2 linked regions of the Caenorhabditis elegans genome follow. The protein of the gene in region 2 interacts with the protein of the main gene of each other region in a pairwise test. Each region holds a gene or a part of one and is shown on either strand. Other genes may lie near its edges.

The links.
Region 1: the proteins of daf-14 (region 2) and arl-13 interact in a two-hybrid assay, tested with the Caenorhabditis elegans proteins (one study listed by BioGRID).

Annotation. Positions count from the first base shown.
Region 1 is NC_003279.8:2,060,494-2,075,374, forward strand, and holds arl-13 (ADP-ribosylation factor-like protein 13B), read left to right. Parts: upstream 1-5,224; 5' UTR 5,225-5,255; coding exon 5,256-5,323; intron 5,324-6,210; coding exon 6,211-6,281; intron 6,282-6,341; coding exon 6,342-6,478; intron 6,479-6,682; coding exon 6,683-6,745; intron 6,746-7,544; coding exon 7,545-7,652; intron 7,653-7,751; coding exon 7,752-7,817; intron 7,818-7,863; coding exon 7,864-7,959; intron 7,960-8,011; coding exon 8,012-8,334; exon of another isoform or gene 8,335-8,375; coding exon 8,376-8,556; 3' UTR 8,557-8,601; downstream 8,602-14,881. Other genes in the region: ttc-5 (Tetratricopeptide repeat protein 5 OB fold domain-containing protein), read right to left, coding at 1,243-1,389, 1,444-1,570, 2,301-2,777, 2,822-2,925, 2,990-3,075, 3,126-3,273, 3,330-3,449; rpb-10 (DNA-directed RNA polymerases I, II, and III subunit RPABC5), read left to right, coding at 3,812-3,905, 3,957-4,066; moag-4 (Modifier of protein aggregation 4), read left to right, coding at 4,575-4,676, 4,740-4,886; rplp-1 (Large ribosomal subunit protein P1), read right to left, coding at 8,636-8,800, 8,850-9,020; rpl-27A (Large ribosomal subunit protein uL15), read right to left, coding at 9,228-9,344, 9,559-9,714, 9,947-10,111; phb-1 (Mitochondrial prohibitin complex protein 1), read left to right, coding at 10,860-11,261, 11,331-11,447, 11,497-11,805; eif-2alpha (Eukaryotic translation initiation factor 2 subunit 1), read left to right, coding at 12,196-12,313, 12,926-13,473, 14,214-14,462. UniProt on the Caenorhabditis elegans protein: Cilium-specific protein required to control the microtubule-based, ciliary axoneme structure. Required for normal sensory cilium function. May act by maintaining the association between IFT subcomplexes A and B.
Region 2 is NC_003282.8:10,245,710-10,262,359, reverse strand, and holds daf-14 (Smad-related protein daf-14), read right to left. Parts: upstream 11,734-16,650; 5' UTR 11,715-11,733; coding exon 11,632-11,714; intron 8,744-11,631; coding exon 8,685-8,743; intron 8,272-8,684; coding exon 8,130-8,271; intron 8,083-8,129; coding exon 7,932-8,082; intron 7,866-7,931; coding exon 7,353-7,865; intron 6,813-7,352; coding exon 6,765-6,812; 3' UTR 6,508-6,764; downstream 1-6,507. Other genes in the region: F01G10.9 (aECM cysteine-cradle domain-containing protein), read left to right, coding at 2,703-2,848, 3,698-3,794, 3,842-4,045, 4,725-4,909, 4,956-5,083, 5,542-6,062, 6,243-6,317; F01G10.10 (BPI2 domain-containing protein), read right to left, coding at 12,685-12,799, 12,846-12,997, 13,390-13,488, 13,541-13,642, 13,692-13,924, 13,969-14,194, 14,702-14,764, 14,813-14,922 and 5 more. UniProt on the Caenorhabditis elegans protein: Probably an atypical receptor-regulated SMAD (R-SMAD) that is an intracellular signal transducer and transcriptional modulator activated by TGF-beta-like daf-7 signaling.

The sequences.
Region 1 (14,881 bases), on a different chromosome or scaffold from region 2:
AAGTGAAGAGCCAGTTCACAGAAAAGGTATACGTCATTCCGAGGAAATTGTCAAGAAATATGGATTTCGAAGAAGTAGAGCTCATTGCATTTTCCGACGCTTCAAAATGGACATATGCAGCAGCGATTTATTTGAGATTCACTTATCCGGATGGTGCAGAGTCTTTCTTGGCTCTATTTAACATAACTTAGTATTACCATCTTATTCTGTGCCTCAACTTAATCGTTACAAGTTTGAATTCTTGAGAAAACTGTATTTAAAACCTATTACGGCCTTTCAAAACTCAAATATATAAAAACGGTATCTTCTTAAGCTTTCGTGTTTAGTTTCCAATACTTTCCTTTCAGTAAGGCTTGAAATTTTTGGAAGCTTCACTGCTAGTTTCCCACTTCACGATTTTCCAATTTCAACTTGTTAAAAACTGGCAAGATCACAGAAAAAGCCACACTTCCATGATAAAACCACAGAAAATTAAAGAAATTGGGCTGAATGTCTCAGATTTGGTGATTCTGGCACATGATGATTTCTCAAAACTTCAATTCAAAGATAAAATTGTTTGTGACCAAACCTTCATTTCTTATTTGACTTTCAGGCTATATATTTAATTATATTTCTTAATTGTCTTCAAATTTTTTTGAGATTTCCCCACTTTATTTAGTGAAAACAAAGATAAACTTCTTATTTTCTCAATTTTTCAATAAATTTAACCTTTTGCAGCAAGGTATTCTCTTTTTAACTGAGAAAACTATTTTAAAAATTCATTTCATCATCTTTCCTTTGCTTTCTCAAGAAAATTTCATAGAAGAAATGCATTTTTTCCGCAAAAATAATTCAATATTCAGAAGTGCGCCAGCACGCGACAGGCGCATCGGTGAAACGCGCAAGCAATCTCCCTCCCCCTTCGTTTCCACCCGAGGAGACCGTGAGCTACCAAAAAAATTTTTTGAAATTCGAAAAGCGACCAAAAACATTTTCGCTTCGAGACCCACGACTCCAGAAAAGTGCGTGCGCCTTTAAACTAATTGCCCTTTTAAAATTTTTTCAACTGATTATTGTGAATAAAGAAAGAAAATTTCTAGAAAAAAGGGTATTTAAGAAAAAAAAAACATAAATTACAGTAAATCAGAGATATTTCAACAGAAATAACAGATTTTGAAGAAAAAACACAAAAAACAAGCAAAAAAGGTTCATTTTCAGAGATCGTTCGGGCGAAATTCAGCAAATATTTATGTACATTCGAACTCATTTCGTCTGAGTCGACGCTACGGCTCTGGCGAGCACACTTTCCGGCAGTGGAACACCATTTTTCTTCATTTGCGTCGGCGTTGCTACACGGATCCATTTCACCGAATCCACGTGGATTTCTGGATCGGAGGGAATTGTGAGATTCTGGAAAAATTTGGGTTTAAATTGGTTCATCGAAAAGAAAAAAACCAAAAAAACCTTGATTTCTCGAAAATCAGGTTTCGCGATCGTCACGGTGTCGCCGATAACAAATCCGAAATTAGATAGGCAATTGTAGATTGTAATGCCGTAGACTTCGCCGGCGGCGTCGACACCAACAAGGGCACTGAAAATTTGAATTTAGTACTAAATTTAGTGGGTTTTGAGCTAGCCACTGCACCTTTTTCCTCACGAGGGACGAGGAAATGCGGTTTCTAGGCCATGGCCGAGGATCCGACAAGATCTATCGGCAATTTATTTTGCTTTGTTTTCCGCGTGTTTTCTTTCATTTTTCGATAAATATGCTGCTTAGATGCTGAAACTACATGATTTTCATAACGAGACTACTGAAAAAGTTGTGAGATTTTCAAAATTCAACATTTTGTGCGAAAATCTATACTTTTTCACCAAAAAAGTTGAATTTCGAAAATCTCAAAACTTTTTCAGCTGTCTCGTTATGAAAATCAGGTAGTTTCAGCATCTAAGCAGCATATTGAGCATGTTTCGGAAAAAGTTTAGGTTTTGTATTCCCGTAATCCATCATATTACATTGACCACTTTCACCGCTACTTGCCGACTGAATACATTTTTTTTGACTTGGAAATCGTTTTGGCATCTGCAAAAAATATTTGTTTATCAGTTTTAATAAGAAAAAACGGAAAAAAAATCGGTGAAAAACACAAGAAAATACGCGGAAAACAAAGCAAAATAAATTGCCGATTGAACTTGTCGGATCCTCGGCCATGGCCTAGAAAGCGCATTTCCTCGTCCCTCGTGAGGAAAAAGTTGCAGGGGTTTTGAGTAGCGTGGCAAATTTCTAGAACCAAGATTTTTGCGAAATCGCATCAAAATCCTACACCGGAATAGTCTCGTCGTGGCCGATATTTCCAATAATTTTGGCTCTAAATCCATCTGACGATTTCTTAAGCTCATTTATCATCTCCTGCATCCGCTTTGCCTTCATTTTTCCCTTCTTTTGGATGGCATCAGTAAATTTCGACAAATAGCTCACAAAACTCGCGAGCTTCTCTCTCGTCTCCAGCTCATTTCTCGGATCATACTCGACGGCTTTCTGTAGAACAGCGAGCGCCTCGTCGTACTTTTCCATGAATTTCAGACAAGTCGCCATATTAATATAAACTTGAGGGTCTGTTCGAGAAAGTTCGCATTCCAACGCTTTCTTGTAGTTTTCTATCACTTTGTCCAAGAACTTGAGCTCCACTTTTGCGGTGCTGAAGAAACAGTAGAAAAGGCCGGTGGCGAAGGCTATGTTGGCAGGCCCGTAGGCACTGTCAAGGCGTCGAGCTTCTATAATTAGTTCCATCGCTTTTGTGCTGAAAATTCAAGTATCAAACGCGAATTTTCTCAATTTTCAAACCGAATTTCTGCCTGAGCCGGCTCGGGATGCTCCAAGGCGACTAATCTCATTGCAACAGCCAGGGATGTCAGAATTGGAGCAGTTTTTGATATTCCGAGAGCAATCTGAATATATTACCTTTAATTATTTAAGGTTTTCAACATTTTTGACTAAAATATTTAAAAATACCTTGAAGCAGGATTGCGCAAACTCCAAATCCCGTCGTTTCATAACGCATAGGCCAAGTTCGTGCCAGGCGTCTGCATTTTTCGGGTCTAAAATTCAACAATTTTCCTGATTTTTCAGCGAAATTTCAAAGCCTCACTCATTCTAACAGATTTGCTGAGCATTTTCTCGGCGGTTTCATTGTAATCCTCCAGTACGTTGTACATTTTTCCCCCTTCCGCAAGTAAAAGTGCCTTCTGATTTGTGTCATACGCGCGGGAAGTTGAGATTATGGTTGGAAGGATTTCCTGGAAGAATTTAAAATTAAAATTGGCCGAATAATTTCGAAAAATGCTCCCCTCACCTGGATAAACTCCCCGCCTTTTTGAATAACCGCCGCCGCCTCCTCGTCTTTCGATGATGTTGGATAATTTTTGAAGTACATTCTTTTGAATATCTCCAGCTCATTTTTGTATTTTTCCATTATTTATTCGAACGAGTTTCTCTAATTTGCAATTCGATCTTGAAACAAAAAAATTCGAAAAGAAAATTGGAAAACCAATTTTAAAATCTTTGCTGCAACTACGGTCGACAACTGTGCAAACACCGCTGTGACAAATGCACTGAAAACACCATATTTCACGCGCATTGCGTATTTTGAACAATTTTCAATTTCTAGAATTTCTGCCCCCATTTTTTGTGATTTAACTTGATTTTCTTGAAGTTTCTCTTCAAAAACTTTACAATTAGCTTGTGGCAAAAGTGTTTCGTTCAAAACTTCACCAAAAATCTCGAAAAAGTGCAGTTTTCATCTTCAATTTTCGAAAATTTCAGCAAAATCACAAGATGATTATCCCAATCAGATGCTTCACATGCGGCAAAGTCATCGGCGACAAGTGGGAGACGTATCTCGGATTCTTGCAGTCGGAATACAGTGAAGGTTTTTAAAATTCTCGGATTTACTGAATGAAAAAAATCTCGTTTCTCTCAGGAGATGCTCTCGACGCGCTCGGTCTTCGTCGCTACTGTTGCCGAAGAATGCTTCTGGCTCACGTGGATCTCATCGAGAAGCTTCTCAACTACCATCCGCTGGAAAAGTAATCGGAGCCCCTTTCAATTGTTGTTGTTTTTCTGTTTTGTTGTGGCCGAATCTCAATTTTTACTTTTTTCCACCGTTTTTCCTCTTTTTCTTCACTAATTTCTCAAAATTTGATGAAACATTTGATTCAAGTTTGCTTTTTAAATTTAATTTTTGTCATATTGTATAATTGAGTTCACAGCTCATTCTTTATTTGTCCATGTGATGTGATTATTTTGCGAGAATTTGAGAATTTCCTAAACTACACCTCCTTCCACAAGTTTTCCTTCAAAAAGTTCCACGTGTCCGCTAGTCAGACTGTCTATCATTCTGACGTCTCTCATTTATCCCGCGCATTTCCTAATCTCGGTCATTTATGTCACCGAGACGGTCTGCGTTCACGACACTTTCTTATCGATTCTTTGTTTTTTTCTTCCAGAAAACCTCGTATACGGCGGCTTTGTCCATCGCTGACGGCGCTCCGGTGTGATCCGAGAAACACAGTTTTTGAGCAGCACAACTCCAACAAAAATGACTCGTGGAAATCAAAGAGATCTGGCTCGTGAGAAGAACCAAAAGAAACTGGCCGATCAAAAGAAGCGCCAGGGAGCCTCTGGACAAGACGGAAATGCTGTAAGTTTTCATTTCAAATTTCCAAATCACATATATATATCCAGTTGCAAATAAATATTCCAGGGTCTATCGATGGATGCTCGCATGAATCGCGACGCTGACGTCATGCGTATCAAGCAGGAGAAAGCGGCAGCCAAGAAAGAAGCCGAAGCCGCTGCAGCTGCTGCAAACGCAAAGAAGGTCGCCAAAGTGGACCCATTGAAGATGTGATTGATTAATTCTCACTTTTTTTTGATCATTTTTGTTTTATTTTATTCGTATTTAAAAAAACATCGTATGGGTTTCCCAAAAAAATGAATGCCTCTGTCTCCTTCTCCTGAAAAATGTATGATCACTTGGCAGCTCGCCAACCTAATCATTATCAGAGCCAGTTTCTGATTGTCTTCTTCGGCCGCCGCCTCACCTCATCTCTTCCTCCCACCCCGCGGCTTCTCTCCACAATTCTTGTGCTCTCTCGGGCTCTGGTAACTATGGCAACCGCCGCTCGTGAAAGCCGAGAGCAACTTCTTGCGTAACTAATCTCCTCGATTTCGACACCACACACTTTACCGCAAGGAAATGCGTAGAAAGTGAGAAGAAATGACCGAAAAGTCGTGGTTCGAAACTATTTTCTGCTGTTGTTGCCATCGTACACCTATTATCAGACGGTAATTCGATATTCTTAGGCTTATTTTTTTAAATGAAAATCGTTTGCTTGAAAGCATTTTTTATGAAATTTTGAAGATGTAAAACGGAAAATCCAAAAATGTTTCCTTATTCGAGGTTTTTTGGAAAAAAAATTATATTTAAAGTCGAAAATTCAGCTATTTTTAATATTTTCCGATCGATTTTTGCCATGAAAATATATTAAAAATTATTTTTATTCATTTATTTTATTTATTCTCCACTGATTTTCTTTTTTTTTGCGTTTTTAATGGAAATTAAAATGACAAAACAAGGTAATTGCAGAATGTTTGTTAAAAAATAATTGAAAAGGCGTAAAACTGTAAAATTATGATTTCCGACGACAAGCCTGAAATTAGTATATTTTACAGTTTTAGGCATTTTCAGTTACTTTTTAACAAGCATTTTGCATTTTTCTAGTTTATTTCTCGCATTTTCCGATAAAAAACACAAAAAAATGAAGAAAATAGGCCGAAAAATAAGAAAAATAAAATAAATAAATAAAAATAATGCAAGTGCGCTCCATCGAACAAGTTCAATTGGCGGAAATTCAAATAGGAATTAGGGGAAAACTGAGATTTTTTCAATTTTCAAAAAATCATATAAAATCTAGAAAAAATTTTTGAATTTTTTTATCATGATATTCGGTCATTGTGACGCCATATGCGTGTTTTAAAGCAATTTTCCCACATGAGAATTACACATCAACGAAACCCAGAAATTACAGTACTCTTTAAAGGCGCACACCGTTTTGCAATTTACAAAAATTGTCGTGTCGAGACGCAAATCCGCAAGTTTCCGCATCTGAGCAATATTTTTAGTTTGATGAATTCCCATAGATCGTGCCGAGACCCAATAGGTTTTTTTTCAGAGAAATCAAACTCGGATGTTTTGGCATCGGAAGCGCCGGAAAAACCACATTTTTGAAAGTTCTCAAGGGAGGTAAGCAAGTGCGCTCCGTCGCTCAATCCGAAATTATTTTAAAATTTGAATTTAATCCAGAAGATCCGCGGGATTTGCTCCGTACCAACGGGTTCTCCACAGTGAAAATGGAGTATGATGAGACTTTTCATTTGACGATCTACGATGTTGGCGGGGATAAGGGAATACGTGGAATTTGGAGCAATTATTATGCTGAGGTGTGTGTGTGTGTGTGCATGCGATAGGGCGCACTTTCACACTGGAGAATTTTTGAAAACTCTTATTACACGTGGATCTACAAAAAATGCGGGACTGATTTCGCATGGTTAAGAGCGTTTTGACGTCACATTTTTTTGGGAGAAAAATTCCCGCATTTTTGTAGATCAAACCGTGATTATTATAATTATTCTAAATAAATTAAGGTTCACGGAATCATCTATGTGATTGATTATTCAACGGATGAGACATTCACCGAGTCGATTGAGGTGAGAGAAGTTACGAAATTGATAAGGATTATGAATTATTCCTAAAAGTTATGAAATAAGATTTTTAGGCTCAAAATACGCTATCCGGTCTCGACACGACAACTTTTTGCAAAAAACTAAAACGGGTGTGCTCCTTTAAAAATTTTTAGGCAAAAGTACAGTAATTTCATTTACCGTATTTCTTCTATTAATATGGCCTCCCTATTAGACTTGCACTCCCTATTAGTATTGCTCCTTGAACACCCTCCGAAAATTAGTATTGCACTCCCTATTAGTGAAAAAGGCGGGGCCTAAATATGAGGTTTTCTGCAGTACACGCCACGCAGTTTTCTTATCTTGAGTGTAATATTGCACTCCCTAATAGTCTTGCACTCCCTATTAGTATTGCAAGCGGGAAGACCATCGAAAAATAGTATTGCAGCTATATTAATAGAAAAAATACGGTAGTTTTACAACTAAAACCGAGCCGCGATGCGACACGCAACGCGCCGTAGATCCACCCCAGATATGGCCGAGCCAAACTGGCCTAGTTCGGCAAACTCTTCCATTTCAATTTATGAGGAAATTCCATTAATTCCTAGGGAAGCCAGAAATTCGTGATAAAACAATTAAAACCACATATATTTTCGAAAAACTATGAAAAATCGGGCAAAGAACGTTTAAAACCACAGTAATCTTTAAAGGCGCACACCTTTTCGCATTTCACAGAAATTTGTCGTGTCGAGACCGGATACCGTATTTTCGGTCAAAATTTCAAGTCTCGGTAATAAATTACTTTTAAAAAATTATCATTCTCCAGGCTCTCCACTCCCTAACCAGCAATCCACATGTGCAGAAAAAGCCAATTTTTCTGCTCCTCAACAATCAGAACAATCGAGAATTTGATGACGTGGAAATTTCGAATGAAGTGAGTGACTTTGAGTGACTTAAATAATTTCCCGTAAACTGTCCCCGTCTTCTTCATCCCCCAGTGTTCCTTCTCTATCACGCAAACCTCTTTTCACAGACTAAAATCCAGGCGGGACAACACAAAATCGTACTTTTCTCGCATTTCAACAAGTATAACGGATATGTGAGTGCGCTTCAAGGTAGAAATTCAAAATTCCACCGATTTTCAGCTTGATAACATAAAAAGTGCCACATTGACGGTGATGGCGAGGGCGAAAAAGGATAGAAATGAGTATCAGGAGCAGTTTGTCAGATTCATCGATTCTGTAGGATTCCCATTTCATTTTCTAGAATTTTTAAAATTTTCCTTTTTTTCAGATTTCTGAGCACTATGTGGAATTATCCGAGGGTGTTAAAACCGCCGAGTTGGCGTTGAGGATCCGTCAGGAAGAAGCCAAAGAACAACGGAGACTGATGCAAATGAAAGTGGAGCACGATGCTTTGAAAGCCGACGTGGCTGGCCTGGAACTTCGGAACCAACCACCTGTGCAACCACCGATCCCGCCTGATCCTCCATCGGATCCGAAGTCCGCGTCGGTTCATATTGAAGAAAGTCCGCCGATGTCGCTTGCCAGCTCGACAATACCATCAGATATCATTCAGAGCACGCCTGAAACAGGAACTCCACGAGATCCTGTAAAGTGAGTCACATTAATTTACTTGAGAAATCCGATTGTTTCAGTTTTTGCAGAATCTCACAAACAAGCACGAAGCCTGTTTCGCCGGAATCTAACAGTGTTAAAGAAGAGCCAACTATCATTCTGAAAGACAACTATTTCTTGCCACCAAAAGCGCCTGGTCGACAATATAGCCGGATACAAAGGATTCAAAACGTTCTGAACAATCGAGTAGTGCCAAAATAACCTCCTTTTTTCACTTTTGAAGCCATAAACACTTTCTTGGTGTTGTTAACAGATTTATTGAAAACAAATAACAAGATCTTTAGTCGAAGAGACCGAAGCCCATGTCGTCATCGGATTCCTCCTTTGGCTCCTCCTTCTTCTTGGTCTCGGCAGCTGGGGCGGCTCCTCCAGCAGCTGGAGCAGCAGCGGCGGCGGCTGGAGCTGGTCCAGATCCGGCTCCGGAAGAGACAGAAGTGATGAGGTTCTGAAAACAATCGGGGTGAAACTTGAATATACTTATGAGAAATCCTTACCTTCACATCAACTCCCTCGAGAGCCTTGGCGAAGAGTCCTGGCCAGTATGGCTCGAACTCGACGTTGGCGGCCTTGAGAAGGGTAGCGATCTTCTCGCCGGTGATGGCGACCTCGTCATCTTGAAGGATGAGAGCAGCGTAGACGCAAGCCAGTTCTTGGTTCGAAGCCATTCTTCAATCGTAAGTTGCGCGGTTTGCCTTAGCTCCAAAGAGAACAAACGTTTGATAGAACGCTGAAAGAAAGTATTAATGCCACAAAGTGACCAGGGTAAGAAAACAATAAGATATGAAGCATGGGTAAAGACCATGTGAATAGAATTCAACAACAAGAACAAATTCAACTTGAAACATTGTTTTAATACAAGGTAACAACATGGCTTAAGCCACCAAAACACAAGCTCCTCCGGCCTTCTTGATCTTTTGCTCAGCCTCGTGGGAGAAGAATCTGGCTTTAACGATGAGTGGAGTCTCTGGGAGGAGTCCTTTTCCGAGAACCTGAAAATAAGAACAGTTAAATTTACGTTTCATAGTCATGAAAGATAATTGTCTCGAACCCAGAGGATGACATTTGTCGAAATTCAAGACAAACACCGAAGGAGATCCGAAAGCCGTTAGGCGCTACTTTGTCTCTCGTAACATACACAACCACATTCACCAGTGGAAGCGCCAAGACGAGAGAAATTCTTGTTTGACTTGTTTCAAAACACACCTTGAAGTATCCAAGCTTGGTGCAGTCAATGACTGGGGATTTGCCTCCGGTGGCCTTGTCGCGAACCTCCTGTGGGACAAGAGACCACAAACGCTCGACGTTGACGGTTGGGCAGTAGTGTTGGTTCTTGTTGAGATGGAACACTCTCATTCCAACCTGAAAATTAAAGTTTGAGTGTCAGATAATAAAGAACATATTAGATTTAATTGTCTCGAACCCAGAGGATGACATTTGTCGAGATGCAAGACAAACACCGAAGGAGATCCGAAAGCCAAAAGGCACTACTATCTCTCCTATAACATACACAGCCATATTCACCAATGGAAGCGCCAAGATAGGAGCGGATAATTTCCAACGAACTTTTAAAAAAGTACCTTAAAAATAATACCTTTCCGAAGTATCCAGGATGGTACTTGTCACGGTTGATACGGTGGTGATGTTGACCTCCGGCGTTACCGCGACCTCCAGGATGCTTCCTGTGCTTTCCAATACGTCCGTGTCCGTGCGAGACGTGACCACGGAGCTTTCTTGTCTTTCTCAACGCGTGAGCCATACCCTGTAAAGTAAACAATTTGAATGTGTAAAAGCGGCAAATTTCGATCGAAAATGGAGAAGAAAAATCAGAGAAAAATATTCAATGAAAGGTTCCCGATATTCTCGGATAAAATTACTACAAAAATACAAATTTTGTCTTTAAAGATAATTAAAATCGACCAGATCACACACTTTTTTCATTAAAACCTAGCGAAAAACCATTGAGAACAAAAAGAAATCCTAAAATATTCGCAAAAATTCAGTGAGTGTGTCTCCCAAAATCTGAGGTACGGTCACACTCGTTTGATGCGCATTTCGTGGCGAGACCCTCTCGATGAAATGCAGCCTCCCTTTAAACTCTTTTATTTTTTGCGCAACTTATTTCATCATTTAAATCGATTTTTTAAGCTAAAAAAGCAGAAAAGTTAGTTAAAATTTAATTAAATAATTTTGCAAATAAATAAGTTATTGATATTTTGTACTTTTTGATTCAGGCTCACTGTTATTATCGATTTATTCGTGGAGAAAGTCGAAAAATACTTTGTGTTGCATTATTTATAACATTCCGTAATTATTTTTGAAGTATTTTTTGTTTTCTAATTTTACTCGACTAAACTCACTTTTTCAATTTAGATTTCCTGACACCATTTAATTCATCCATCTAATTTCGTGATAATTAGGATTATTATCAATTTTGCATCATAGCTCGTTCATTTCTCTTTCTATTTCCCATTTTTTGTCCAAGTTATTAACTTCCATTTACCAGAATGGCTGCATCTGCACAGAAGCTTTTGGGTCGCTTGGGAACTGTCGGAGTGGGCCTTTCCATCGCTGGAGGAATCGCACAAACTGCTCTTTACAATGTTGATGGAGGTCAACGAGCAGTCATCTTCGACCGATTCAGTGGAGTGAAAAACGAGGTCGTCGGAGAAGGAACTCATTTCTTAATTCCATGGGTACAAAAACCAATCATTTTTGATATCCGGTCAACGCCGAGAGCCGTCACCACCATCACTGGAAGTAAAGACTTGCAAAACGTCAACATTACTCTCCGTATCCTTCACAGACCAAGCCCCGATCGTCTTCCAAACATCTACCTGAACATTGGTTTGGACTACGCAGAAAGAGTCCTTCCTTCCATTACAAATGAAGTTTTGAAGGCTGTTGTGGTGAGAAAAAATTTTAATTTAAATATTGCGAACTGATTTTGATTTAAAATTTGTTAAAATTAATTCCAGGCGCAATTCGATGCTCATGAGATGATCACCCAGCGTGAGGTTGTCTCCCAACGGGCGTCCGTGGCTCTTCGTGAACGTGCTGCACAGTTCGGACTTCTCCTTGATGATATTGCAATTGTAAGTTCACCAGATTTATGAAGTTTAAGCTATTTCCATGATTTTTCAGACCCACTTGAACTTTGGACGTGAATTCACTGAAGCCGTCGAAATGAAGCAAGTCGCACAGCAAGAAGCCGAAAAAGCGAGATACCTTGTCGAGAAGGCTGAACAAATGAAGATCGCCGCCGTTACCACCGCCGAAGGAGATGCTCAAGCCGCAAAGCTTCTTGCCAAGGCCTTTGCCTCTGCCGGAGACGGACTTGTCGAGCTCAGAAAGATTGAGGCCGCCGAAGAGATCGCCGAGCGTATGGCCAAGAACAAGAATGTCACCTATCTTCCAGGAAACCAACAAACCCTTCTCAACCTTCAATCCTAAATATCTCCGGTTACGTGTTTTAGACGAATTCCACTCATTTTCCCCTTTTCAAAGAGCCTTTTTCACTCTGTTGAACTTTCGAGAATAATCATGCCCGAATTCTCAATTAAATACTTTTTAAATTTCGTTTTTTTTGTTCTGTTTAGAGTAGGTCATTTCCTTCATTCATTTTGTGTAGGTATCGTAGCTTTTTCATTTTTTTTGCTTGTTTTTGTTGGAAATTTTCGTCTAATGAATAATTTGTTCGCGATATAATGAATTTGAAATTGGGAATTTATTAATTTTCAATGGTTGATTTCCCAAAATCATTATTTATAATTTTCTTATTTCTTTTCAATTTTCTTTTTTTTTAATGCTAAACTTTTCTTCTTCTCATTTCAGATGGCGTTAATGAAATGCCGTTTCTACGAGAATCAATTCCCCGATGTCGAGGAGACCGTTGTCGCCAATGTTAAAATGATTGCCGATATGGGTGCCTACGTCCGGCTTTCCGAGTACAATGATAAAGGTTTTTAAAATCATCATTTTAAAACAAAAATCGAATTAAAAGAGGACTAACGGTTCGGACGATTTTGAACGTATAGACCCAAAATGAGCTCAAATGAACGAATTTCGTAATGAAACTGCTCAAAAATGTTTCAAAAAATTTTTATGGCGGTTCAAAATTTTGAAAAATTACAATGATTTTAGCTAAAATCACGAATTTTCCCCTTTTTTCCGTGTCAAATCCTTCCTAAGTTAGCTTTTTTGGAATTATCGTCTTTTATTACATATATTGGTAGTTTATCTCATTTAATTTCGTTGATTTTTGGTTACCTATCGGCTTTAAATATACTTTAATCGGTAAAATTAAATGAGATAAACTACCAATATATGTAATAAAAGACGATGATTCCAAAAAAGCTAACTTAGGAAGGATTTGGCACGGAAAAAAGGGAAAAATTCGTGATTTTAGCTAAAATCAGTGCAATTTTTCAAAATTTTGAACCGCCATAAAAAAATTTTTGAAACATTTTTGAGCAGTTTCATTACGAAATTCGTTCGTTTGAGCTCATTTTGAGTCTATACGTTCAAAATCGTCCGAACCGTTCGTCCTCCTTTAAATTAAATCATTTTTCAGAGGGTATGATCCTGCTCTCCGAGCTCTCCCGTCGTCGTATCCGTTCAGTGAACAAGCTAATCCGTGTCGGCCGAAGTGAAAGCGTCGTCGTGATCCGTGTCGACAAGGACAAAGGTTACATTGATCTGTCGAAGCGTCGTGTCTACCAGAAAGACTTGAAACAGTGCGACGAGCGATTCGCGAACGCCAAAATGGTGAACAGCATTTTGAGACACGTGGCCGAGCAAGTCGGATACACTACCGACGAAGAGTTGGAGGATTTGTACCAAAAGACCGCGTGGCACTTTGATCGCAAAGAGAAACGGAAAGCAGCTTCATATGACGCATTCAAGAAGGCGATCACCGAACCGACGATCTTGGATGAGTGTGATATTAGTGCAGATATTAAGGAGAAACTCTTGGAGGACATTAGGAAGAAGCTCACCCCTCAGGCGGTTAAAATTCGCGCTGATATTGAAGTCTCCTGCTTCGATTATGATGGTATTGATGCTGTGAAGGCTGCACTTATTGCTGGAAAGAACTGCTCAAATGGAACCTTCCCGATTAAGGTTTCATTTTATAGATTTTACACATGGGCGCGCTTTTTTCTCGCTTTTTGCGTTTTTTGTTTAAAATTTCACGATGTCGCTCGATTTTGTCCGTTTTTTCGAAGAAAAAAACCAAGTTTTCATAGTACAGTTTTTACCCGAAAAATTCTCCGGTTAATTTCTTTTAATATTGTGAATTATTGTCATTTTTCAATGTCTTCTTTTATAACTTGTTGTATATTTATATGAAGAGAAAGCGAGTTTTATAATATTTTTCAGAAAGAGAGTTTTCAGCTATTTTTTAAACACAGTTTTTACCCGAAAAAATGCTTTTTTGTCTCTCTTTCTGAAAATACGATAAAACTCGCTTTCTCTTCATTTAAATATACAAATTATCAAGAAGGACATTTTAAAAATGACAATAATTCACAATATTAAGATAAATTAACAGGGGAATTTCAAATAATGTGCAAGATTTGGGTGATTTTTTTTCGGTTAAAAAATGTGAAAACTTGGTTATTTTTCATTTAAAAAATAGCTGAACACTTCTTTATTCGAAAAAAAAACGGCCAAAATCGATCGAAATCATGAAATTTTGGACAAAAAAAACGAAAAAAAAGGAAAATTACCGCACCCAAAAAGCGAGAAAAAAGCGCGCCGCAGGGTTGCGGCCGGAATCCCCGCCTCCAATAAACCACGCCCATGTGCGCAGTGCGAAATTGTTTTTTTTTAAATATTTAAAAAATAATTGTCTAATTCAGATCAATCTCATCGCCGCTCCCCACTTCGTCGTCACCACACAAACATTGGACAGAGAAGGTGGAATTGAGGCCGTCAACAGCATTCTGGATACTATCAAAAATGCGATTGAAGGATTCAAGGGAAAATTCACGATCAAGGAGGAGGCGAGAATTGTGACGGATATTGATGATGAGAAGAAGAAGGGTGATGGAGATGAGGATGAGGAGGAATCAGAGGAAGACGAGGACGAGGAAGAGGATGAGGATGATGTGAGTTTTGGAGTTTTTAAGACGATTTCAAGCATTTTTTCGTGATGATTTTATAATACATGAATTGGCAAGTAGAGCTTACACGTGATACTAATAATTGATAAATACATCAATTTCTGTTTTTACTGTACTGGCACAATAGCTCTCGTAAATCGACACAAAAGTAATTAAGTCACTCCGCGGAAAAAAGAAATTTGAATAACTCGATTCTTGTTTTGAATGTGGTTAACGGTTTTTTTTTAAAATCAAATTCAAAATCAGAATCATCCAAATTCCATTTTTCCGCGGAGTGATTTAATTACTTTTGTGTCGATTTACGAGAGCTATTGTGCCGGAATTTCAGTGCAGTAAAAACAGAAATTGATGTTTTATCAATGATTCGCATCACGTGTAAGCTCTACTTGCCAATTCGTGTAAAA
Region 2 (16,650 bases):
CAGTACTACTACAGTACCCCGACCACATCCCATCACTAACCTCAAACCAATATCCCTTCAAAAGGCGAAAAGTCAATTTTCAAAAACTACAGTAATCCTACAGTACTCCTACAGTACCACTACAGTACTACTACAGTACCCCGACCATATCCCACTAATAACTCCAAACCTATATCTCTTCAAAAGACAAAAACTCAATTTTTCCTAAACTACAGTAATCCTACAGTACTCCTACAGTACCTCTACAGTACTACTACAGTACCCCGACCATATCCCACTACTAACCCCAAACCTATATCTCTTCAAAAGACAAAAACTCAATTTTTCCTAAATTACAGTAATCCTACAGTACTCCTACAGTACCTCTACAGTACTACTACAGTACCCCGACCATATCCCACTTCTAACCCCAAACCTATATCTCTTCAAAATACTAAAACACAATTTTTCCTAAACTACAGTAATCCTACCGTACTCCTACAGTACTACTACAGTACCCCGACCATATCCCACTAATAACTCCAAACCTATATCCCTCCAACAGCCGAAAACGCCTTGCCTTTGTAAGCTATGGCGTCACTTCTTAACAAACGGAAACTATTTTTTTATATATAGGTAATGATTAAAAATTTTACCAATTTGTCCGTTTTATTTTTGTGGACCTGGAGACTGGGAACATGTCTAAAAATTTTGTTACTCCAAAATTTTGTTACTCTTTAGTTTGTTAAATTGTCTGACTATGAACCTTCTGGAAACTTACAGTTTATATGTATTATATGACATCATCATTATTGAAATTTACAGTTCTCTCACCAGGTGTTATCATCAATTGAATATCTTGACATTCTAGGAGAAATCGTATCAAATGTAATTTTTCCGATTCTAGAACACTTTTTGAAAAAGTTAAAAAATCCTGTCCTCGGGGATGAGAGGAAAAACGATCAGACTAGTGCCAGCAGATTGCCAATTTTTTGTTTCTTTGTGATCTAAACGGGAGATATAGTGTACTGTGGAATACCGAGATCCGGAACACGATACCGCTTGAAAAACAGATTTATCTTCTTTCCCCTTTCCTTATCTTTTTTCACCTATTTTTTCCACATTGAAATGTTCAAACTAACGACAGAGATGTCTGATTCTGTTATCTTTATCCCTTATCTTAATGTGATAACCCTTCTCTCACAAATCGAGAATCAACAGTTCATTAGTCCTTGCTTCAATGTTCTTACACATTTTGTTCCGATTTGGGTTACAGTATCCAGAATAAAGTATACACGATTTTGTAGTCTTAACTAGAACATAATTTTTTATTCTCTTTTCTATGGTAATTAAAATTAATTTATAAGTTTCCAAGTTGTTTTTTCTTTACATAATTTAATTGTTTCTAGATTTATCAAAATGCTATTTAAAATTTTCCAAAGCATTGTTTTTTGAGTAAATGCGTAAATCTCATAGATTTTAAATTGATAAATATTAAAATTCAATAAAATTTCTTGTTCTCGTTTTTTGAGCTACTCAATAGCATTTCCCTACGTTGTCTTATTTAGTTCTGTAATTTTTGCAATAATATTTTGCAAACGTTTCATAAAACTTTAAAAGTTGATAAAATGTTTAACTAATTTTGTTTTGGTTTAAGGTATTGATTATTTAAACACTAAATGTTTTTTGTTATAAAATACACTTCTTTTTGGGTTTCGGAATTCAGGAACTAATGTCATTTTCTGAATTTCTCCCTTAATGGTACACGAATATATTCAATTGGGTCTTGCCGCGCTAAAAAATATTTAATAACTTAGGTAACAAAAACTAAGAAAAATCACAAAAAACGAAATCATTTCCACACAAAACTCCAAAATTTAAAAAAAACGGGCATCGAACAAATCAAAATGAGTTTTAAAACGTTTCAAGCTGTTGGTGTTATGTATTAAAAATTAAGAAAAAAGAACTTATATTTTCGAATCAGGCATATTTGCATACTGATATCAAAAGTTCACAGTAGTTTATCTAAAAAGAAAGTTTTGATCTCACCAGGCCAAACTGATAAAACCTTGCAAATCATCTTCTGCACGATATCAATTTCTCATTCCTTATTAGACATTAACCGGAAACAATGTGAGAAGCTGCCTTTTTCTTGAAGGATTTCCCTCACAATCAGTGTTTTCTCAGTAGTGTCAGATAGTTTAGAAGATTGTAAGAGAGGGGCCAACCAATTAGCCTGAATCTCTTTCTCTTTTAGTTTAGTACTGATGATGGTGGTGATCGTGGTGAGTGAAAGAATACAAGAACAACGAACACAAACAATAAAACAGTAATTAGATTTTGAAACGAAAAAAACGAACGGAACAATCGAATTTCTAATTTCTCTCTCTTTTCTTTTCCTCTGTCACCTCATTTCTCTCATTTCCTCTTACTACTATGACCCCCCTCCCTTTGGGTTTATGCCCCGCCTATACACTTTTTCTCAAAGAAAAAAGATAATCCAGGATTCAAAAGATCCAACAGTTCCAAAAAGATTCAGAAGCATATGTAGCAGTGTCTGTAGACGCTTTCATCCTTTGACTTCCTTATTTTTTATCGGCCAGTCAAAACCAGACAAGGCGGCTGGGTTCATGTCAATTATGAACAATTTTCTATCCCGCTGCATCTTTCTCATTTTATATTATTTCCGAATAAAAACATCACAGTTCATTCTTCATGTTTAGATGATCGTCCATCTCATTATGCTTCTGCTCATGACGGTTTCAGAGCATTTTGTTACTGCAAATACACATTCAGTACTGGAACGATATGAAGAACGACTGAATTCCGCGTTATCCAGAAGGACTGGTGTCCCAAGAACTGTTAAAAGGTATATCAAATCGAAAAACTTTTTTTTTTTCAAAATTCACTGAACAAAATCCTACAAAAATCGAATTTATCTTTGGTAACTGTTCCCTCAAATTTATAGTTTTGTATAGAATTTTGTTTTAATTTGAAAAAACGTCAATCTAAATTCTTATAATTTTGTCAATTTTATTGCAGGGCAATAGTTGAAAAATTAAAACCATGGCAATTTCCGGTGTTTCCAAATGTTTTGAAACCAGGATTACCAAATTAAAAAATAACTGTATTTTTCTATTAGTAGTACTCCATCGCTATTATTTGGCAACGTATACGTACGTACTGATAAACTATAGTAGGTATACCCACCAAATATATTAAAAATTGTAGTAGTTTTGATAAAATCAAAACCGAGATATCTACTTTCAAAAAAAATCTTCAAGAGTAATAGAAAAAATACAATAGAAACAGTGATTTGTTTTGTTGCAAAATTTTTGAAGACTTCGAAAGATTTTGCTTCCAGTAACTGCCAATATTGACGGAATATTTCGATGTTTGCGTTTACTGTATTTTCATATCAGTAATGAAAGATTAATAGGAATTCCAAAAATTAATAAAGAAATAAAATTATATTGGAAAATACGGTAAATTAGATTAATTTTTATTTCACGATGCTTCTAATCGATCCACACTTTCTGAGTCCAAAACGGAAACCAAGAATCTATCCCATGTACAGAAAATCTCCTTTTTTCAATACAAACACCCAAAAACTAATCCCCGCCGGTATGTTTCAAATGAAATTGTTGAACCCTAGACTGCTAGCATTTTAATCGGTTACTTTCTAATCTTCCCCGGCTACTTAAGAATATAATTGCAGATACAAATGTGTTGAAGAATACGTGACTTATGATCAAAATGGTCGTGCAGTCACATCTTATCAGGGTAATAAGTTCACAACAACTATGGAACCACCGGTAAATCATTTAAATTTTAAAAATAAAACCCCAAATATGAGTTTCAGACATATCGATCTTCAGGAGACAGAGAGATTCGTCGGAAGCCATCAAAGAAGGTAACAATCGCGATTCATCGGAATTCGGAAGAAACGACAACTCCGGTGACTGTGACCTCGACGCAGAAAGAAGAAACTACAACAAAACCATTTGATGAAATGAATGATGAAGAAGCTGATAGACTTATTGAGGAAATGTATCTTAAGAAGAAGGTGAGTAGACAGGCTAAAATTATAAGAAAGTGGGGGTTTCACGGAGCTAAAATATATATATAACCTTCCGGCCGATATGCCGGACTCTTACCACTTCTTTGCTGTTTGGTGGGGAAAATAATACTAATTTTGCCATTTGGATAAATTTGTTAGAAGTTCAATTGTTCAATGAAAAAACGTTTGCGTGTATTTAAACAGAAGGTGTTAGTGTAGGCTTAAAGTAGGCAGATCTCATTGAAGGAAGATCTATATCGAAGCCCTAATACACAATTAAAAGTTTTATTTCTACTTCCTATCAAAGATTTTTTCTCGAAATTAACGGAATATTTCTTGCTATCATCAAAAATTGAAGTGAAAAGTTTGCGTATAGCTATCCTTATTAAACTTTGACCAAAATAAATCATTACATCACTATTCCGATTGAAACTTTTTCCCGATAGATATATATTTCTCCAAAAAAAACGGCTAGGTCAGATCAAATCTTATGATACGTCTAGACGTTCTAATTAACAGAATCTAGTTGATCCAACATCGCACATTCATTAATATTATCCATCACTTTCCTTCTTTTTTCATAAATTTATGATTAGGTTTCTCTGTTCATTATTTCAAAACATATATCTCCAAGATTCATTTGACCTATAATCAAAAACGGAGGTTTAACCATAAAACGATTCAGGAGAGTCATGCAACTGAATCACCGGAAGACTCCTTGAAAGTACCGGTCGAGGTCATCGAATCACGCAAACCTCTATCTCCACCTTCATCTTCTGCAAATGTGTCAAAACAACGGTCCTATACAACGTCATCATCCTCTTCGTCAAACTCAGCAATTGAACGATACAACAATCAGCAGAATAAAATGTAGAAAAAAAAGAAACTATTTAAATTTTTTATTAAAATATTTCAGAGGAAATCAAGATAATGAAGAAGATTATCCAAATTCAATGTATCACAGAGGATCACGGAAGAGGCCATATGATATGTCTACTTATGATGATTATGACGATATTCCATTATACAGACCAATGAGAAGAGGTTAGTTTAACTTGAATTCAAATTAATACTAAATTCTTATCGGAAAGCAATAATATAAATTTAAATCGAAATATGATTACTTTTAATTAAATTTAAACTATTTTTCATTACAATATGGTCTGAAAGATTACTTAAAGATCAAATAATCAACGATTTATGAAGAAATCGAACCTTGATGATCGATGTATCCTTTTATCTGTGATCATTAAAATATTTATCTCCGCGAAAATGTTGCAAAGAAGGAATATAGTTCAACCAACAAACATTTTCTCAAAATAATAAAAGCATGAAGTAGTTACTGAAATTTTATATCATACGAAACATGTTTGGTCATACCCCGAAGTTCAGGAAAATTCCAGTGATTGCTAAGATTTTTTTTCCAAATTTGAAATTAGGTAAAGTAGTTTCAAAAAAAAAGTTGTATGTTTACACTTTTCCAAAGTTATCTTAATATTCAGAATACCGAATGCGTCGCAGACGTCCGATACTCTTTTCTGATGACTTCTCGGATGAAGCTGGTTTCGATCAACAAATCGGAAACTCTGATCGTCATCAAACAACACGAGATCTTTCTCCATTAAGATCAATGAAACGTCTTCGCCATCAAATTCCATATAATCAACCATACCGAGTACCTGGACCAATGACTCTTCCAGTCTCTTCGACAACTAATATGCTTCATCGTCCAGTTCCATTGCCCGGTGCCCCACAACCAATGAGAATCCCGCTTCCTCCGGGTGCTCCGATGCCAATGCCATTGGCTCCACCAGGAATGGCTTTACCACCTTCCCAACCAATACAACCTGTTCAACAACAAGTGGGTCATGATATTCTTAAGTTGAAGCCAATTCTACAATCGAATCCTCAAGAAATGCAGGAAGCTACCGCAGAGAGTTGTGCAAAAATAACAAAACTGGCCAAGAGTTTTAGTATCAAAGATGTCTCGAAATGGGCGAGAGGCAACTGTCCCTTCCTGCAGGTAAATTTTAAAATATAGAAATCAAGGCTGCCACTACAGGTAGGCATTTAGGAGTGACTACGTGCCTATCTGTTACGTATTTTTGGTGCTCTTTTGTGAATTCCTGTTGTTGGTGTTACAACAGAGACACATTTAATCAAATCACTTTTTCACAATCATGTTAATTTTCCTTATTTGCAGATGTATGCTCCAAACGCCAGCTGTGAACTCATATTCCATTTTATTGATTCTTGTAAAAGCAAGAAATTCTTCTAAACTATGACTTAATTTTTCTCAAAATGTTCTCTGTTTTCTTTGCTCTTTTAGTTTTGTGCTCATCCTACATTTAAAGACATTTCCAACCCATACGGGATCATCTCATTTTATTTATTTCCACAATTGACACTTTTGTCGTCAGATTTCTAATTTATTGTTTCAGGTTCCTCTCCTTTCCACCAAAAATGTATTATTAATATTATTTTAATAATTTATTCGCATTCATAATCATTTCATCAAATTATTTAATTACATTACAAAGTTCTCAAAACAGAAGATTCTAATAAATAATTGAATTAAAGATTTTAGAAAAGCATTCAAGAGACTGGGAATTTTTTAACCAAAAGAAATGAAAATTAAAAACTGGGACAGAAATGGAAATATTAATCAAACGGGTACGCATTCGAATGCTTAGAACCAATCATTGAAGTGAAAATATTGAAGCAATCATGATCGGGATCCTATTTCCGGCCGTTCGTTATTAATACGGAAAACCTGAAGATTATTAATGGAACTTTAATTACTTGAAACAATTTTGTGTGTTATTTCAAGTGTTTAAATTTAAATTCAAATTCAAATTCAAAATGGTCTCAACTATGCCATACACTTAACAGTTAATTCCATTACTAGATCATATGTTGAATTTTTTGTGTTTTTGTTTTAATGATTGAAATAGTCATATTTTGTTTAATTATTTTATAAATAGAACCGGATAAGACAAATGTGAATATAATTATTAATTATTTGTCTTTCATGAAGTTTTTTAATTTATCTATTTATTTCGGAAACAAATATAGCCTTGATTCACCGAAAGAATCCAGGTGGCTAAAAAATCGATTCTTTAATCTTCAATGGAGATACTTTAAGCCTATACAAAAATTGCTAGCCAGTAAAATTCAGTAGTCGGCTCAGTGGTGTACAACATTTTCAGAGATCTTGGGTATTTCAGCTGCAGTTGGACCGCACTATCGGAAATTGTGTTTTAATATTATATTTTTAATTTAGGAAAAATTACATTAAAGTTTAAAAACTCACTGTATCATACTCATCAGCTGGCTCATGCAAGATAATTTCAATCCAACACGGTAAATTCACAACTTTCAAACGGGAATACGTTTCTCCGAATCCTTTACAGAAAGAGACTCTGATGTTGGAGAAGATTCTCATTCGTTCATCAGCCACCTCTTTTTCAGTTAAAGGTCCGAGAGCCAATGTTTTCTCCTGTTCAAACTGCTCCTTATCGAATATTTTCATTCTTTTTTGATCTCCTTTGTTTTGCAACCGAAACACATATTTCAGTGGCTTATTCAATGTCTGGTTCAGGAATGGGCATTGTACAAAAACAATTTGGTCAGTCAGTACAGTTAGCCAAAGTTCTCCATTTTCATATGCCAATTGAATTCCTGCTCCAACTGTGTTTCGGATTTGTGAGCTTTTTGAATTTCTCGAAGATGGTTGAGATGTAAGCGACATTCGGCACTCATCACTTGCTCCAGTTGCACCATCGATTGTAATTGTTGGGACTTTGGCTTCGAATGCTTTTCCTAGCTGAAAATATATCATTGTTATGCTATCCGTTTTTTGAAATTCTTTCTCAAATAATTTTGAACTTACTCGAACAGTCAGCTCGTAGTAAAATATGGTACACCACGGTTTTTCTTCTTTTGGATATTTGGGTTCAGGATCCAACATCTCGTTTCCAGTAGGACGTACTTCAACTACTGCCTTTTCAGGAGTTTTTGGTTTCAAAGAAGATTGGCTTGAGCTAAAAAAAGAGGTATGTGAATGTGTATAACTTTCAAATAAACGTACATATTTGAAAATGGAAACGGATCATTATTTTCATCAGTTGATGTTGACGGAACATTATAGCAATCAGGCATTGGAGCATCTTCCAACCAGTCGTTTATTGGCATGTTTGGATTATTGATGCTTGCCGGTAAGTGAACTTGATCTGTAATTTTTGTATATCAGTTTGAACAATAAAATAAAAGCTCAATTCCAAATGTTAAATTAGTCAGAAACTTGTTTCCCAAGTGATTGTGATCACGGTGACTCATATGGATGATGAGGGACTTAAGCTGGATAATTTTCGTTTTAGAACTTTCTGATTCATATTAAATCATATGACAAACCGGAAATAAATCGTCTGAAAAACATCGAAATCATACGAAATATTTTTAAAGATATTTTTCATGTTTATAATTGTTTTCTAACAAAAAATTGAAGCATATTTATATTTTATGTGATTTGAGGCATTCTGAGATCAGGAACTGAAAACGTCTGTTTTATAAATATATTTTTTGCAGTTATAGCCACTTCTGTCTAGTTTTCCAATAACTTTGTCATGTCTACAATTTGACTCACCTGGGTACATATAATTCCCCGCAGCCGCCCAATTTGTGGGTGTTGTTGTAGTTTGAAAACTGAAAAGTCGAATATTTAAAACGAGTTAAGAAAAACACAAAACAACAAGGAAGTCGGTTGGCTTTGATATTAATACAAAATGAAATAATTATGAGATAATGAGATCCTATAAGGAAGGGATTATCTAAGGATTACGAATATGAGGGTTGTTGGTGAAATTAGCTGACGTGAAAATAGAGAAAAAGTCAATTGAGTGCATAATAATGCCAGAATACCTATAGATAAGAAATAATGACGTCGTATTAGAGGTTTTGAAATCGGTTCAGTTAAATTTTTTTGCTCTCTATCAGCATGCTATAGAAGGAAGATAGTTTTGGGATATTCATTTGATAAATAAATATAAAAATAAATGTACTGAAATCATTCGATTTTCTAAGTGAAAAACACAAAATCATTTAAAAAATATGTTCACTTTTTCTTCAGGTCTAGTTTCCTTATTGTCAGAGTCTAGCAACGTGTCGTCATAACAGGTGTATTAGAAGAAATTAAAAAGTCGACTAGACTTGTTATAGGGCAAGTCTCACGACCTTAGATTGTTATCTCTCATAAGAGTGTACGTGAAGTTGCCAGACAGGTGCTGTCTCGTTCTTGAAAAAAGTGTATTCAACTATATATCTAATGTTAGATAATGTATGATGCGGTAAATTAAATGTTGCTACTTAACTTTTTTTCATATTCGGGAACGAACTATGGTTCCTTTTTAAAAACTAGATCTGGCAGAATAGAACCAAATATAGAGTTTTTGAAGAAAATTGAAATAAATATATGTATATGAGTATTGGAAACAGATCAAGAACTTTCACCTTTGTTGACGTCAGTCATACTCTTTCTTTTTGGAATTGCGCTCGTTTCTGACATCAGTTTATAAAAGTCGACGGTTAAAAAAATAGTATTGGAACTAGAAGAGACGTGAGAAATATTTTGAGAACTAGATAGGAAAAACGAGAGAGGAGAGGAGCGAGAGTGAGCGTTAGGGTATGTATGTGTGTGTTTTCTGTCACAACAAATGTAAGTGAAAGGAGGAAAGAAATGGGAAAAAAGAGAGAAAAAGAGAGAGAAGAGAGAGAGAGAGAGAGAGAGAGAACGGAGAGAAATAGAGAACGAATATACTCAGAGCATCGGCAACACGTGAGCTTCTGCTCCTAACAGGAAGAAAAAAGTTGGAGTGAGCGCGTAATAGGGAACGATAGCACGTGATCGATAAATAGAAGGAAATGGAAAAAAAGACGAGGTTGAGAACGTCATCTGAATTGTATTTTCAATGACGACTACTTTGAATGAATAAGAGAAATGAACAAAAGAAGGTTAGGGAAAGATGACAAAAGGTTCGTTATTACCGTTCGGAAGAAGAATAGTTCGAGGAGGGGTAGTTACGAAATAAAATTCGAAATATTTTTAGTTACCCTCTGAAATTTTAATTTTTTCATCTTTCCAACAAATTAATGTTTTTCAACATTGGAAATTTCATTGAATAAAAATTAATAAATTTAAAAAAATCGATAAAAAAATCCATACCGAAAACCCCTAAAATAGTGTGACTCTAGAACACTGCAACGTGGCTCTGTCTACAAAGTGTGGTCCATCTGTTGCGCTGTGCTCAAATATTTGCCGATTGCAGGAAAAGAGACGAGAACAGTAACACGAAAAGGTCAGATAGATCAAGAAGATATTATTCGTTTATTGGGTTAAGAGATCAGATTCATAAAAGGCTCGTAGAGATAAACAAATTATCATAATTTTCGGCTTTAGATGTTTGTTTGATTGTGCCTGTTGGAGTCTAAACTTCGAATTATTTACAAAAAATTTTTTTTGAAAAATTTAAAAAGAGAACATTGTGGTTTTTTCCCTATTTTTCATCAAATTTTCCTGAATTTCTTGGAATATTTGGGGACTTCTTTCATAATTTTTTAAAAATTGCTAGGAATTGCAAATTGAGTAACAAACCACGATACTGAACTTTTGGGGAAACTTCAAAATGTAAATGAGGAAAAGACAGGGGCAAATACAATAATTGTGTTTTGATTCCGGTGAACTCAAGAAGAGCGGGTACGTTGCAAACTACGAGAAAGAGAGGTATTTATTGTTTCCGCCCCAGGACATCCGTTGTAAACTTTTTGGTTCAAAAGATCAAGACACAGAAATGCGTAGACAGGGCGGAGAGAGAAATATGCATCTTGTCTTATAAAAGTCGGAACGAGTCAGTCAGGTTAACAATATATTTCCATCTCACTGTCTACGGGGGAAGTGATAGTGTGCTGGACAAATATAAAACTTATTTGGTTTGAAACGTTTTGTTGAAGTTACTGATATAACTTAGTGGTGTTGCCTAATAATTGGAACATTCTAGGTTTTTTTTCAAGCCGAGAAAACAGTTCAATTACTTGTTTTTTGTAAAATTGAGTTTAAAGTTTCAATAGAGTAGAGCAGTCCAGAAAAGTCAGACAGATTTTTGAAATAAAAAGCTTGAATCATCAAAAATAGCTTCCAGTTTGTAAAACCCTGTCAACATTGGTATATATATTGGACTAAAAATAGTCAGTCACCTTTAATTTACTTTTGTTATAAGTTTACATAACTAAAATTGCATTGAAAAAAGTTTTGAGCGACTTTTATAATAGTTTGTTAACAGCCGGGAGTTAGGAAACTATTTGACACGGAAAAATTACAAATTATTTTTCATTAAAAAACAGAAGTAAACATAATTGAATGTGACTATTATCGGAAAAATCACGTGGTGTCAGGCTGTTCCATGTCCCATATGATCTACAATAAATGCGGGAATTGAGACGCAGAGACAACTGTTATTGCACGGTTAAGACATCTTGACACATCGTAAAAAGTACGATTATAAATGTTATCAGCATCACCCGTTTAAAAACTTACTTACCCAAACTCGGCAAAATCGTCCATGATTCCTAACTCTCCTTGGTTGTTAAAAAGTGATCCAAAATCTTCTTGTTCGTTGGACATTATAAATGTTTCTGCAAAAAAATGTGTGTTCGAAACAACAAATCTCCAAAATATAAACGGAAGGGTGCCGATTTATGGATTGTTTGAATAACAGGTAACAAATCAAACATCTACTACACAATTTTTGCACTTTGAATGAAAAAGTCAAAAACAATTGTGTGAAAAGCGAGACTTTAGATGATCAAGTCACATCCAAAAGTATATAGAAAGAGTAGAAAATGAGCAGAAAAACATAGAAACGCAATGACTCCATGGTGATGGTTTTATGTGAAGTGGCGTGACTAGGAAGGGTTCAATATGAGACAAATAAATACGAATTGACATTACTAAACGATGCACATCAGGTTGTTAAGCCAGTAATAGACCCAATTGTACCTTTAAAAACGACTAGAATTTTGATCATAACAAATTATTCGATAGTTGGACAACCCTCGATTGCAAATAATTTGGATCCAGTTTTGAAGATTCCCTGTAATTCAGCAAAATAATATTCTGTCAGATTGAGATTAATGGTGGAGCTTGGCCAGTAGAGAAATGATTAAAAACCACAGAAAAAGAAAAATGAGAAAAGTACATTGGTAATGTGAACGAAAGTTAAACGTTGAAAAGATAAGTTTATTTGACGATCAAGAAGATATTGAAATGAATGATCACGAATGAAATGATACCTGTTCGATTGAAAGTATTGTTTGAATTGTTGAATAGAATCTCTATGAAAGACTTGACACGTTCAATCGAAACTCTCATATTATACATTCGACAGAAAAAACAATTTTTGGTCCCTTGCAAATATTTAATTTTATTTGCAGTTTTGCAAATTACGGAGATGAAAACTGTCCTTATTTCTTCAAACAGTTTCGCAGATAATAACTTATTTATTATATATTCATCAGTATTCTTTTCTCGAAATGTACATATAAACCGGTAACTAAATATCGATATTTCTGTTTTTTGGTAACTTTGTCATTCATCACAATGGTCCACGTAACGTTTTTCCAACAGCTCCTCTGACAAGACTTCCTGCGTATTCCTCGTCAAGTTTGAAATATGTTGAAACTTTCAGATAACGATCGTGGAAAGTTAATCTGAAATTATAATAAATTCATATTATAGAGCTCGTTTCAAACTCACTTTGGACTCTTCAGAATTACACCTTGCATGGTTGGCAGAGCAATTCCCATTTGAAGAATTTCAGTGAGAAGCTTCTCTAAAAATTCAGCACCAAATAATCCCAAGTCGGAAAATGAATCTTGGTCGACATCGTTGATTTTTGTTTCAAGGAGCTGAAATATGACAATTTGATTAGCACCTCAAAACTGAAACATCCAGGCCGGCTTCCAAAAAAATAAATTGGTGACAATTTTCTTGGTGAAATATCATATAATCGCATTCAAGTCTTACCCAAGTTCAAATTTTTCCATCTTTAACCCAAAATGTTTTAAACTAGTGTGGAAGATTGGGATAGATTGGGCCTATTTACATTTTACGTAACCTCTTTATTTTACAATTTTGAGCTTTCTGGTGATTTTAAAGGCCTATTAATAATTTACGTTTCGATTAAATTACCATTTGTAAAAACACATAAAAACATATAATATTTGGCGTACGTCGTACGACTTGAAATTACATAGCTTCAGTAAGAATGATTCATAGATGATTGGATGAAACATCTCACCTTAAAATCCAAATTTTCAATCGTTGAGTTTCCAACAATAATTGATCCATTGATCCACAAGTTTACGTTTGCAGTCATTGTCGTGTCAGCTTTTAGGATCTTTACGAAAATAAAAGGAATTTCTGTTTCATAGAATCAAATAAATCAGTACCTGCTGTTTAACTTGATTTGGCTTCGAAGGTCTTACGTACATATTAAGACCTCCATGGAGTCTAAACCGAGACCTATCATCAATGAACACAATTAGTGGAGCCTGAAAATAAGTGTGTCAAATAATTAGGATCGTATATTAGGTAACCTACTTTCTTTGCGAAAAATTCAATTTCAACTTGTCTATCCGGGAATTGTTCTCCAAGTGTACCAAGGAACTCTCCAAGACAGAAACCAGCAGGACCACAACTTGTAAGCAAAAGTCCTTGAAGCTGTGGAGAACTTTCGGGTCCAACTGTGACGTCAAGGAACTTTTGACGATATGAATGATACAACATTGAATTAGCCAGATAATCACTTGCATAGAATTCAATCATATGAACTCCTGAAATAAATTACTTTTAGAACGGCAGTTGAAATAATTCATACCATGTGGAGGTGGAATTCTAACATTTGGTGGAAAGAAGGGAGTTCCACCTTGACCTCGATATGAGATTTCTCCCTTTGACATCATATTTACAGCACCATTTTGTACAAATGGAGCTGTCAACATTTGATAATCCAACACTAACTCCTTATCACGAAGCCGTTGTACGAAATGGGTCAAGGTGATATTCTTGGCATTCAGATTTGATAACTTTCCAGCCCGATGATGCTGAAATAAAGGTCGTTAAAATCAAAAGAAAACAGTTTGAAAGTTGAGCATTCGACTCTAAATTTTCTACTGTAACTCAAACATACTAAATTATCCGATAATTAGACAATTTTTCAAAATGTTGACTGATCTAAAAAAAATTTAAAGTACTTTTTAGTTATAACTATAGGTTTCATGGCACATTTTGAGTATATATTTCAAATACAATACAATTTATTATTTTTTTTGTACACCTTCAAAATAATTGGATTCAATCTGAAAATACGTGACAATATCAACTGGCAACTCATTGAAAGCCTTGTAAAAGATTACCACATCGCTGTCAAACAGATGGCAAACTTTTTTCAAACTTTCTTGTTTCTAATTTCCCTACACCCATGCAAATTTTCTAGCATCAGTTTGGTAATTCAATCATAAGGCTTCATTTGAGCTATCGATTGTCGTGGTTTTTTACGACTTTGAGCCTCTTGATCAACGTTTAAAATATATTAATGAGACATACCTCACCTTTCTTGGAGCAACTCCAAATGTTTCTCCGATGATGTCCAAGTTGTTCTCATTGATTCGAATCTTTAAAATATTCAAAAGTTTTCAGAAAGAAAATTTGAATTTACTCACTTTTAGGGGCATGTTGGATAGTAAAATATTCATATCTCGATCAATAATCGATTCAATCATTTTACACATCTTCTGTTCAACTTGTGGTTTGAAGTTTCCAATCAAGAATGCTTAAATGTTTGATTTAAATTTTATGTTTCAGGGATCAACTTACCTTTAAACGCGTTGATAAAGAAATCAGTGATAACTCCAGTGTTTCTTACATTCAAATCAACATATCCAATTGCACTTCTGCATCCAGTAGATCTTACTTGAGGAGCTCCATTTGCATTTCTAGAATTTTCTCGTTTCAAAAATCAAAATTTATCAAAACTCCCTTACCGTTCCATATTAACAGTAATATACAAACTAATGTGACCTAAAAGAGCTTCAAAATGCCCTGTAATTGGTACGGTAGGCAACAGAAGAGGACTATTCAAAGTGGCTTGAAAGTCTCCAGCAGCTCTGAAAATTAATGTAGAATATCTAGAACTAGTATAATATTATTTATCACCTCAAATGCATCTTGCTCATGCTCCACGCAAATGTACTTGGTTCAGACATATCCAATGCATATTCCTGTGGAGCCCAGTACTTGCTCATTTGAAGATTGTAAATTGAAACCTATTATATAACATGTTTTATTGTAAGATTATCGATAAATCTAACCTCTCCATTTTCAATCGGTTCTCTAATATTTGGCAGTTGTAATTTAAGAATCTGCTCATTGATCACTTTCATTCCAACTTCTCTCAAGTAAGCTAACCCGTTTGGCATGATTCGAAGGTAGATACCCGGGTTGACAGCTGAGGTGTTTTTCTATAAAAAAAATGAATATGTTGATGAAGATTTTATGAAAGATTAGATTTTTAATTTCATTTGGACTACGGTAAAACAAGTGTTTCACTGAAGTCACTGAGATGTCATATTAAATTGATATATGCAACATTGTTTCTATGGTGTCAAATGCAGTTTTTTGTTTCATTAAAATTTGTTACTTTGCTGCCAAATTTCAAAAACTATCAATAACGAGATCTTGCGATAATTTTTTTAAAAGTACAGTAATCTTCAAAGGGCACTCTTCGCATTTCGCAAATATCGTATACCGTATTATTTTTTTTGTAGATAAAGCAAAACTTCGCGTTTCATTCTTTCAATTTTGAAATGAGCCTGGAGAAATAAGCAGGTATAATCGTGGTATGTGAAAAAAGGGTCTGTCCAAAAAATTTAAATGTTTCAAAATATGAAATGCCACAACCATTGTTTTCCAATCAAATCGATAAAGATCTGCCGAACAGATAATAAATTTGATAAGCTTACATCAAGAAGTGGAGAATAATCCCGAGTGATTTCTTGTCCCGATGAAAGCCATGGTACACAGAATCCAAATAATAGTAGAACTCTCATAACTGGAAAAATAAATAAAAACTCATTTCATGTTTGCATACTGCTAGTAACGTTATATAAATATAAAAATTGAAAACTTTGGTCTTTATTTGAAAGAACCGTCTAAAAAAGAGAAATCCTCATATCAGAAATATTGATCAGTTCCTAAAAAGAGAAATCATGAAATTGAAAGGAAAATGAAAAAGTGAGGAGCGGAAAGAGGAAAAAGACTAAGAAGCCGTGAGTGTTCATCTTCTGTATCGCTTATTCTCAGAAACGACAAGAAGATGTAGATGAGAAGTGTATCAATTCGGGTACCGAACAGGTTTCGATCCCCGTCATCGCCTCGCCACAAAACATCCAATGCCCGCGAAACGGCCTTCTTATTGTCTAGACGCGTGCGAGAAGCTTATACAAACTGCGATGCACCTTTTTTTAAATTGTTTCATTTTGCTGTAAATTCACAACCATTT